Linked DNA regions of Canis lupus familiaris. The main gene of each other region encodes a partner of the protein of the gene in region 2 in a complex. Links are inferred from orthologs where the notes say so. Each region holds a gene or a part of one and is shown on either strand. Other genes may lie near its edges. The genes, in order: IRF2BP1 and BANP.

Region 1 (4,516 bases), on a different chromosome or scaffold from region 2:
ACATACCTCGCTTTATTGTGCTTTGCTTTATTGCACTTTGCAGATACTGCTTTTTTTATTTTTTACTAGTTGAAGGTTTGTGGCAACCCTGTGTCAAGCAAGTCAATTGGTGCCATTTTTCCAACAGTCGCTCACTTGTGTCTGTGTTACATTTGGTAATTCTTGCCATATTTCCAACTTTGGCATTATTACTACATTTGGTATGGTGCTCTGTGATCAGTGACTAAAACTCAGAGCTCAGATGACGGTTAGCATCTTTTAGCAATAAAATATTTTAAAATTAAGGTATATATGTTGTTTCTTTGGACGTCATACTAGCGCACGCGCATAGCGTAACCTTCACTTTTAGACGCGCTGGAAAAACCGAGAAGTTCATCTGATTTGCTTTGTTGCTAGATTTGCTGTATTGTGGTGGTCTGGAAGGAGCCTACAATATTTCCGAGGTATGCTTGTATTTCTTAGGATGAGGCAAAAGTAATCCTTTTTAACGCCTTTACACACACACACACACACACACACACACACACACACCCCACCTCAGGGGAGTCAATTTCCAGAAAATAATCCAGGTGGTAAGTGAAATTGTGAAGCTGACACTGATTGGCTAGCAAAATCAGAGCTGCTAGGATAGCAGCAGGATGTGGGAGAGGAAGCAGACAATCCAATTAGTTTGAGAACTACTAATGAATGCAACTCTGACAAGCCATTCAGATATTTTTTGAGCGCTTATCCCAGCTTACAGAGAGCAAGAGGGTGATGGGTGTTAGAATCTGGAGACTTCTCTCCTCCCCTCCCTAACTCTTCCTGCCTGACTCGCACCGTTCCCGATGCTAGTCCGGGGGATGATGCGGGGTGTCCCCAAAACCTGGTTGGTCCGATCAGGTAGTAAGCACTCAAGGTTGTAGAAAAATCACCCCCCACAACTCTTGCTCGCCATCTCTGGCCTCTTTCTCTTCCACCAAATTACCGAGCCGTAGAGGATGAGGATTCCCTCAACCTGGTGCTCCCCCAAAAAGTAAAGCGCCCAGAAATTGAGCCGGGGGTGGGAGACAGCGGGAATGGGGAAGGCCTCCTCTCCACCTCCCAGACAGCGGAAGTGCGTCAGTTTATCCTCCCGGCAGAGCATTTTGGGAATTGTAGTGAAGCGGTGGCGGGGAGGCGGGAGGGAGAAACACCGCGTAACCCTTTGTAGACCGGAGCGCGCGGCCGAGCCGGAACGGAGTTCGAGGGCGCTCCACCACTCTCTTTAATAGATGAGACGACTGAGGCCAAGTCCTGGCCCAGAGGCCTCCGTTCTTCCCCTCGCTCCGGCTGTTCCCGGCCCAATTCAGAGAATGCTACACAAGACAGCAGGAAAACGAGGTGCCAAAGCAGAACCCTCCCTCCCCGAGTTGCCAGCTTTCCCGTCCCCCCTACCCTGCAACCATCCAATCAGAGCCCCTCCGCCCCGCCCCAGAAGCTGCTGCCTCCCTAACCAGTCATTGGCCCACCTTTGATGGGCGGGGAATCGGGCTTCAGAGAGAGCAAGACTTTTGCCTGAAGGTGCACAGCAAGTCCGATCCGACTCTAGACGCCCGAAAGCTTGTCCACTTCCTACCATGTCTGAATCCGGGGTAGCTCTGACCATTCAGATATCATCTCCGCTCCCAAGCCCCAGTGCCCCAGCTCCTCTGAGCACGCCGAGCTCACCGCCGGGCAGCGTCGAGCGGTAGGATTTGCGCGGCTGAGAGACGGCGAGCCCGCTCCTCCGGCGCCAGCCGTCCCCTTTAAGAATCGGCCCCGGCGGGACTACGTTTCCCAGAAGGCTTTGCCGGCGCGTTATGTAACTTTCCCTGCGAAGCGGCCTCTGGGGCAGAAGGAGGTGGAGGCGGCGGCGGCCGTTGCAGCGGCGGCGGCGGCGGGAGCGGCGGGACCCCGAGGCGGCGGCGCCCGCGGCCCATCGCGGGGCCGGAGCTGTGCGCCTCGGCCGGGAGCCCGGAGCGGGCGGAGGCGCCGACGTGCCTCCTACAGGCTTTTCAAGGAGGCGGGAGTGAGGAAAAAGGCTTAGGGCCCAGGGGGCGGAGAAGGGGGGCCGGGCCTGGATCCGCGGGGAGGCCGAGCCGGAGAGGCCTGACTGTGGCTCGCGCGGTCCCCGGGACGCGAATCGAACGTCGGGCGGCGCGGATCGAACGTCGGCGGCGGGTGGAACGCCGGGGCTCAGCGGCGCGCGCGCGCGGGGGTCATGGCGTCGGTGCAGGCGTCCCGCCGCCAGTGGTGCTACCTGTGCGACCTGCCCAAGATGCCGTGGGCCATGGTGTGGGACTTCAGCGAGGCTGTGTGCCGCGGGTGCGTGAACTTCGAGGGCGCGGATCGCATCGAGCTGCTCATCGACGCTGCCCGCCAACTCAAGCGCAGCCACGTGCTCCCCGAGGGCCGCTCCCCCGGGCCCCCAGCCCTCAAGCACCCGACCACTAAGGACCTGGCTGCGGCCGCCGCACAGGGGCCTCAGCTACCGCCTCCGCAGGCCCAGCCCCAGCCGTCAGGGACAGGCGGCGGCATCTCGGGCCAGGACCGCTATGACAGGGCCACATCGTCCGGCCGCCTCCCCCTGCCTTCGCCCGCCCTGGAGTACACCCTGGGGTCCCGCTTGGCTAATGGGCTGGGCCGGGAGGAGGCCGTGGCGGAGGGGGCGCGAAGGGCCCTGCTTGGCTCCATGCCCAGCTTGGTGCCCCCCGGGCTGCTGGCAGCTGCAGTGTCTGGCCTGGGAAGCCGAGGGCTGACGCTGGCACCCGGCTTGAGTCCTGCCCGTCCAGCTTTTGGCTCCGATTTCGAGAAGGAGAAGCAGCAGAGGAATGCGGACTGTCTGGCAGAACTGAACGAGGCCATGCGTGGCCGGGCAGAGGAGTGGCACGGGCGCCCCAAAGCTGTGCGGGAACAGCTGCTGGCCCTGTCTGCCTGCGCCCCCTTCAACGTTCGCTTCAAGAAGGATCACGGGTTGGTGGGGCGGGTGTTCGCTTTTGACGCTACCGCCCGCCCGCCGGGCTACGAGTTCGAGCTGAAGCTTTTTACCGAATACCCCTGTGGTTCTGGCAACGTGTACGCAGGAGTCCTGGCCGTGGCTCGCCAGATGTTTCATGATGCTCTGCGGGAGCCGGGCAAGGCTCTGGCCTCATCAGGCTTCAAGTACCTCGAATATGAACGGAGGCACGGCTCAGGGGAATGGCGCCAGCTGGGGGAGCTGCTCACCGACGGGGTCCGCAGCTTCCGAGAGCCCGCTCCTGCCGAGGCCCTGCCGCAGCAGTACCCGGAGCCAGCCCCTGCAGCCCTCTGTGGCCCACCCCCGCGAGCCCCATCCCGGAACCTGGCGCCCACGCCACGCCGTCGCAAGGCATCCCCTGAGCCCGAGGGTGAGGCGGCTGGCAAGATGACCACCGAGGAACAGCAGCAGCGGCACTGGGTAGCGCCCGGTGGCCCATACTCCGCCGACACCCCCGGTGTGCCTTCACCCATCGCCGCCCTGAAGAATGTGGCGGAGGCCCTGGGCCACTCCCCCAAGGACCCTGGCGGGGGCGGGGGCCCTGTACGCGCTGGGGGTGCCAGCCCCGCAGCCTCCTCCACCGCCCAGCCTCCCGCCCAGCATCGTCTAGTGGCCCGCAATGGTGAGGCAGAAGTCAGCCCCACGGCAGGGGCAGAAGCTGTGAGCGGGGGTGGTAGCGGCACCGGGGCGACCCCTGGGGCCCCCCTGTGCTGTACCCTGTGCCGGGAGCGGCTGGAAGACACCCACTTCGTCCAGTGCCCCTCAGTGCCCGGACACAAGTTCTGCTTTCCCTGCTCACGGGAATTCATCAAGGCACAGGGCCCTGCCGGGGAGGTGTACTGCCCCAGTGGAGACAAGTGCCCCCTGGTGGGCTCCTCTGTCCCCTGGGCCTTCATGCAGGGCGAGATCGCCACTATCCTTGCTGGAGACATCAAGGTTAAGAAAGAACGGGACCCCTAGGCCACCACTGTCACCAGTCTACTGCCTCCCACCCCCTTGCTACCCACCGCTTCTGCGGATAAATTATTCCCTCTCCCCCAGCCCAGTGCTACCCCCACCTGTGTACATACCCCCTTCCTCATCCCAGATGGGTCCCCTGGGGTAGATGCATTGAGGGTGGGGGGAGAAAGCTTGTGGCTTCTGTTCGAGGGGGTGTTTGGGGTCCTACGGCCCCTCCAGTATCCCTCGCCCCTCCTTGGCTTGGCTTTGCTGCTGCTTGTAGTTGGGGGAGAGGTGCCCCCCTCCTCCTTGAGAAGGGGCCTCCTGAAATCTCGCTCTTTATAAACAAAGCAAAAGCATTTTATTGCCCCCCCCTCCCGCCCCCTTTTCCTCCTTCAATAAACCGAAAGATGGTTTTTTTTTTTTTCCTTCTTGGTCCCTTAGTTGTGTGAGATGCTGCGCCCTCTCTGGGACCGAACTGGTCCTGCAGGGAAGGGACTTTGCGTTGTAGCCTCCAGGTGGCGCCCTTCACTCAGGCGGGCCCGTTGACTGTTTTTAGAA
Region 2 (4,582 bases):
TCTGAAATCACAACCTTTGCTACACTTGTCTATGGTTGGCCTTCCCCAGCTGAGCTTGGCATGCCTCCAAGGCTGCAGAGCCAGAACCTCCAGGAGGAACACACGACATCCGCCCACACTGCAACGCGGAGATGACCACGGGGACAATGCTCAGGGCATCGGTTCCACTGACGGATGGCATCCATTACCAAGAGAGGCAGCAGAGCAGAAAGACAAGAACGGGCTCTGTAATTCCTGCTCACAAGGAGCAACTTGCCACAAAGGTGATCTCTGCTCATCCCATTAAATTAATTTTTAATTGCATATAACAATCCCACAAGAAAGAAAATATGACACAGACAAGATACTTTGCAAATTTCTGGGAGACTGATAGGATCTAATGGAGGCAAAGGAAACCACAATCTGGGGCATACAGGAGTGGGTACAGCCAAAGTGGGTAAGCCTGTGGCAGGCCAGAACACTCAGCAGAGCACAGGCCGTTTCTGCTCACACCCTCCCTAGACCAGGTAGACCAATCCCAAATCAAAGGGATCTGGTCTTAAGCTGTAAGACCCACAGAAAAAGTCTCTGCAATCTGGCACTCAAAGTCCCACACAGTAACAAGTTCCCAATGACTTGAGGGGAGACCCACACATTTTCAAAACCAGCCCCACAGACTCAGAGCTCTCTGCCCATTTCCTCTTGCTTTAAACAACAATTACCAATATTTAAGGAATATTTGCCACATGAAGTATGAAGCCAATATTTTTTAAAAGGCAACAATGGCACTAGAGGAAATAAGAAATCAAAGAACAAAAGAATTGAAAAAAATCCCATGTTGGTATCCTCAAAATCAAGAATATGTTCACAAGTAGCTACTGGGGGGGGGGGGGGGGCGGGGAGAACACATAAGTTTTTGATCAATTTTCAACTGTGGAAATAAAAAATTTTAAACAGGATTGGAAGATAACTTGAAGCCCTCTCCCAAAAAAGAGAAGAAAATGACAAAAGAGGATAAAGACACAAGATTCAGTGGGTCAATCCAAGATGTCCATCATCAAAATAAAAGAGTAAATGCAGGGGAAATTGTCAGATACAAGAGGATTTCCCAGAGCTGAAGGGCAAGCGCCCAGAAGCACTGAACATCCACAGTGAGACTCCACATCCTAGGGCACTCTGGAAATGTCCTAACACCAAAGCGGATTGTAAGGAGTTACTCAAAACGAATAAGACTATTTGGCAGAAATGATATTGAAATGAAGAAAGCCAAGATTAAAACATGGAATCCTGTACAAACTGGGATGTATAATAAAGGAAAATATCAGAAGAATACTTGTACTGGCCTGAGTAATCAATCCAGATTAGAAAAAGAGGACAGAGGGCTGAGGAGGATGGGGGGGAGGGAGGAGTGGGGAGTTGGAGAGATGACCTTATCCCTTGATAATTTACAACGTAAAGAGTCAATGGGAACAGAGAATGCAAAGAAAAAGAAAGGCCACTACAAACAACAGAAAAAAACAGAAAGCTGTAGAAGTGAAAAACAGTATTTGCTCGGTCTTAAACAATCTGAGTCAAGTGAACACAGTGAATTAAGGGGATAGAAAAGGTGGGATATGATAGGAAGGGCTCAATCATCGTATGATAACAGAATGTCAACAATGTGTAAGACTAATAAAATACCAAGGTACTCTCCAGAGCTACGGAGACCTTCCCCAAGAGCAAAAAGATGTTAAGTCTTTGAGGAGTAAGACGGGGCTGTTGCTCTTCAACCTAAGTTTTCCCCTGAGGGTTTACCGTGTGCATGACTGCTAGATGTATTATTATTTAAGAGCACGGACCTCGGAGAGAGGAGTTCAAGGCCTTGGCTCCCCGCGTCTTGGACGAGTGTCCTAACCCCGGTGGCCGGTCACCTCTCTAGATGGCTGCGATGAGAAGCCCTGGGAGTGGTCCGCAGGCCCAGCCACAGCACAGAGCGCGGGCACGGCAGCCACTTCCAGACCCTAAGGCCACGGGATGTCCACGGAATCCAACATCCTGAGCACATGTTCTCACTTTAGTGCAACACAAGGGAGAACGAAGCTAAACAGAGACGACTCATCTCGGGGGCTGTTCCGCGGTCTCCCCGCCGCTAGATCCTCCAGATCCTCTAGATCCTCGTATGCAGGGCGGTCCGGAAGCGGAGTAATGGGCGGGCGGTCCCCCGGGTCCCTCACCTGGGGCGACCCCTGGACTACCCCGACCTTGGCGAGGCCGGGGGGTGCAGCCGGTGCAGAGGGCGCCAGGGGCGGCCAGCCCCGAGCCCCCCGAGCCCCCCGGCAGCCCCCGAGCCCCCGCGTCCTCGAGGAGCGCCCGGTGCAGGGCGCCCACCGGGGGCGGGGCGGGGCGGGGGTCTCGAGGCAAACCCCAGGCCGCACTCCCCAAGCCTGAGCGCTCCCCTCCCCTCCCCTCCCCTCCCCGTGAGCCCTCGGCCCCGCGGGGCGGGCACACCGGGCGCAGGGCGGCCTGCCCGCGGGCCCCGGGCGCCGACTGACAGGGGAGGCCTGTGCCCGGGTCCGTCCGGGGCGCGGCGCGGGGCCCTCGCGGGGGGCGGGGGCGGCTGGCGGGGGCGGCGGCGGCGGCGGCGGCCGGGGGAGCCAGAGCGGGCGGGGAGGGCGCCGGGAGCGGGGCGCGCCGGCGGGGCCGAAGGCGGCGGGCCGTTGGGCGGCCGCGCAGGGCGTCCCGGGCGGGGGCGGCGGGCGCGGGCGCGGCGGCCGGAGGAGGGCGCAGGGAGGAGGGAGGAGGGGAGATCTCGCTCTCGCTCTCGCTCTCGCCCCGCGGGAAGGGGGAGGTGGAGACGCGACCGGCTGCGGGAGCTGCAATTACCGTGTGGGCTGCGGAATTCTCGTGGTGTTTGTCGGGGAGATGCGATAATGGCGTCCGTCCTCGCGAGAGAAGCCGCCGCTCTGCGCAGGCGCCGCGAGTCCCTCCCCGCGGCCCTCCGCCCCGCCCCGTCTGCGCAGGCTCCTCACGCGGGGCGCGCCGGGCCCGGGGACCGGGCCAGGGGGCGGGGCCTGCCGCTCCAGGCCTCCCGCGCGCGCCTTCGCCGGCGCCGGCGACCGCCGAGCATGCGCACGCGTCGTCCGGCCGCGCCACGGTTGGGGCCTGGAATCTTTCCTTTCCCGGCGCGCGCTCCGTCTCCTCGCTAGCCCCGTGAGAAGTCGCGTCGGTGGACCGCGAGAGGAATTTACGTTTCTTCAGAGGCTGAATGAATAGGAATTAGGTGCGCGCGACGACTACATATCCCGGAGGGCTCTGCGCGAGCCGCGAGCTGAGGTTCCTGGGAATCGTAGTCCCGGCGTGTGCGCCAAGCCTGCTGGTACTTGTAGTCTCTCCGGACTCCGGCCTCCCGTCGGCGCCCGCGCCCGCCACTGCTGGGACTTGTAGTTGGAGACGGGGGGCCTGAGGCCGCTGCGACTCCGAAGGGGTGCCCCCGAGTAATAGCTGGTGCTCCGGGTCCCCGGAGTCTGACCACACTTCCCAGGGCTCACGCGTGGGGGAAAATGTGTGTTCGTGGTGTGACCTGTCCCGTGTGGAAGTAATCTCTGTGTGTGCGTATGTACACGAACATGCGGTGTGCATGTGGCTGTGTTACACGTGTGTAGCATAAGTGCTGGTCTGTTGGTGCTCGTGGGGAAAAACCACTGGCTGTACACACCATCCGGCAATGTTACTCCTGCTCACTGGTATCACTGTTGCTCTTCTTGTGCGTTGGGGTTACCCTGCTTTTTGTTTTCTTCTTTACACTTGCCTTTGTTTTCTGAGTTGTTTACAACGGGCAAGAATTTCTTCGGTCGTCCAAAAACAAGACTGTGGAGCTATTTTCATTTGGAAAAGAAAATGCTCTACTGTTTCTGTAACTTTCCTGCCTACTTCCCTTTTTGCCGATGATAAAAACCTGATTCTTGGAGGCAGTAACGAGCTGCTTGCCCTTGGGCAACCTTGCTAGTAATAGTCTCTTCCAGAATGCACACTTGGGGGATCTACCGAGGCTGATCTTTGGCTTAGCTTTACAGGAAAGGTGCCTTGAAGAAATTACAGAGAACAATCACAGAAGATCGGTGCTGGAAAAGATGCTCGCATTGAAATGAGAATTGTCCTGGGAGGAAGGGAAATTGCTCAGCAAGGTCACACTGCTGGAAGAAGACAAAACCAGGGTTTAGAAACCAAAACACTCTGGTCTAGAGTGTGCTCATAGTGGGGAAGAGGATGGCAGAAGCTAAACGTGCAAATCCTGAGAGATAAGTGAGGGCAATGTCTTCTATCCCCACCTCTGCCTCAACCGTAGCCAAAACTAAACACTTAACTAAGAATTCTTAACATGGACATGCAAATATCTGAGTACAGAGTAGATAAATGTAGACTGATCTTTTTGTTTTTGTTTTGTTTTTTTGTTTTGTTTTGTTTTTTGTAGACTGATCTTTTTCATGTTATTTCAAAATCTCAACAAAGCTTTTGTCTGTAGCTCTGTTGTGGATATGGGTTGCTGGCTCCTTCCTGGCGAGGCCTAGCACACTACTGGGTTCTATACCAGTGCTAAGTCATCATCAGGAATTAAGCCAATCAA

Evidence for each region.
Region 1: BANP (region 2) and IRF2BP1 share a complex: the UniProt entries of both Homo sapiens proteins name them as parts of the corepressor complex. The link is inferred for Canis lupus familiaris from reciprocal best matches to the Homo sapiens genes BANP and IRF2BP1.

What each region holds. Positions count from the first base shown.
Region 1 is NC_049222.1:110,448,805-110,453,320, forward strand, and holds IRF2BP1 (interferon regulatory factor 2-binding protein 1), read left to right. Parts: upstream 1-1,526; 5' UTR 1,527-2,221; coding exon 2,222-3,976; 3' UTR 3,977-4,383; downstream 4,384-4,516. UniProt on the Homo sapiens protein: Acts as a transcriptional corepressor in a IRF2-dependent manner; this repression is not mediated by histone deacetylase activities. May act as an E3 ligase towards JDP2, enhancing its polyubiquitination. Represses ATF2-dependent transcriptional activation.
Region 2 is NC_049226.1:65,737,859-65,742,440, forward strand, and holds the start of BANP (protein BANP), read right to left. Parts: upstream 2,966-4,582; 5' UTR 2,842-2,965; intron 2,241-2,841; exon of another isoform or gene 1,818-2,240; intron 1-1,817. UniProt on the Homo sapiens protein: Controls V(D)J recombination during T-cell development by repressing T-cell receptor (TCR) beta enhancer function. Binds to scaffold/matrix attachment region beta (S/MARbeta), an ATC-rich DNA sequence located upstream of the TCR beta enhancer.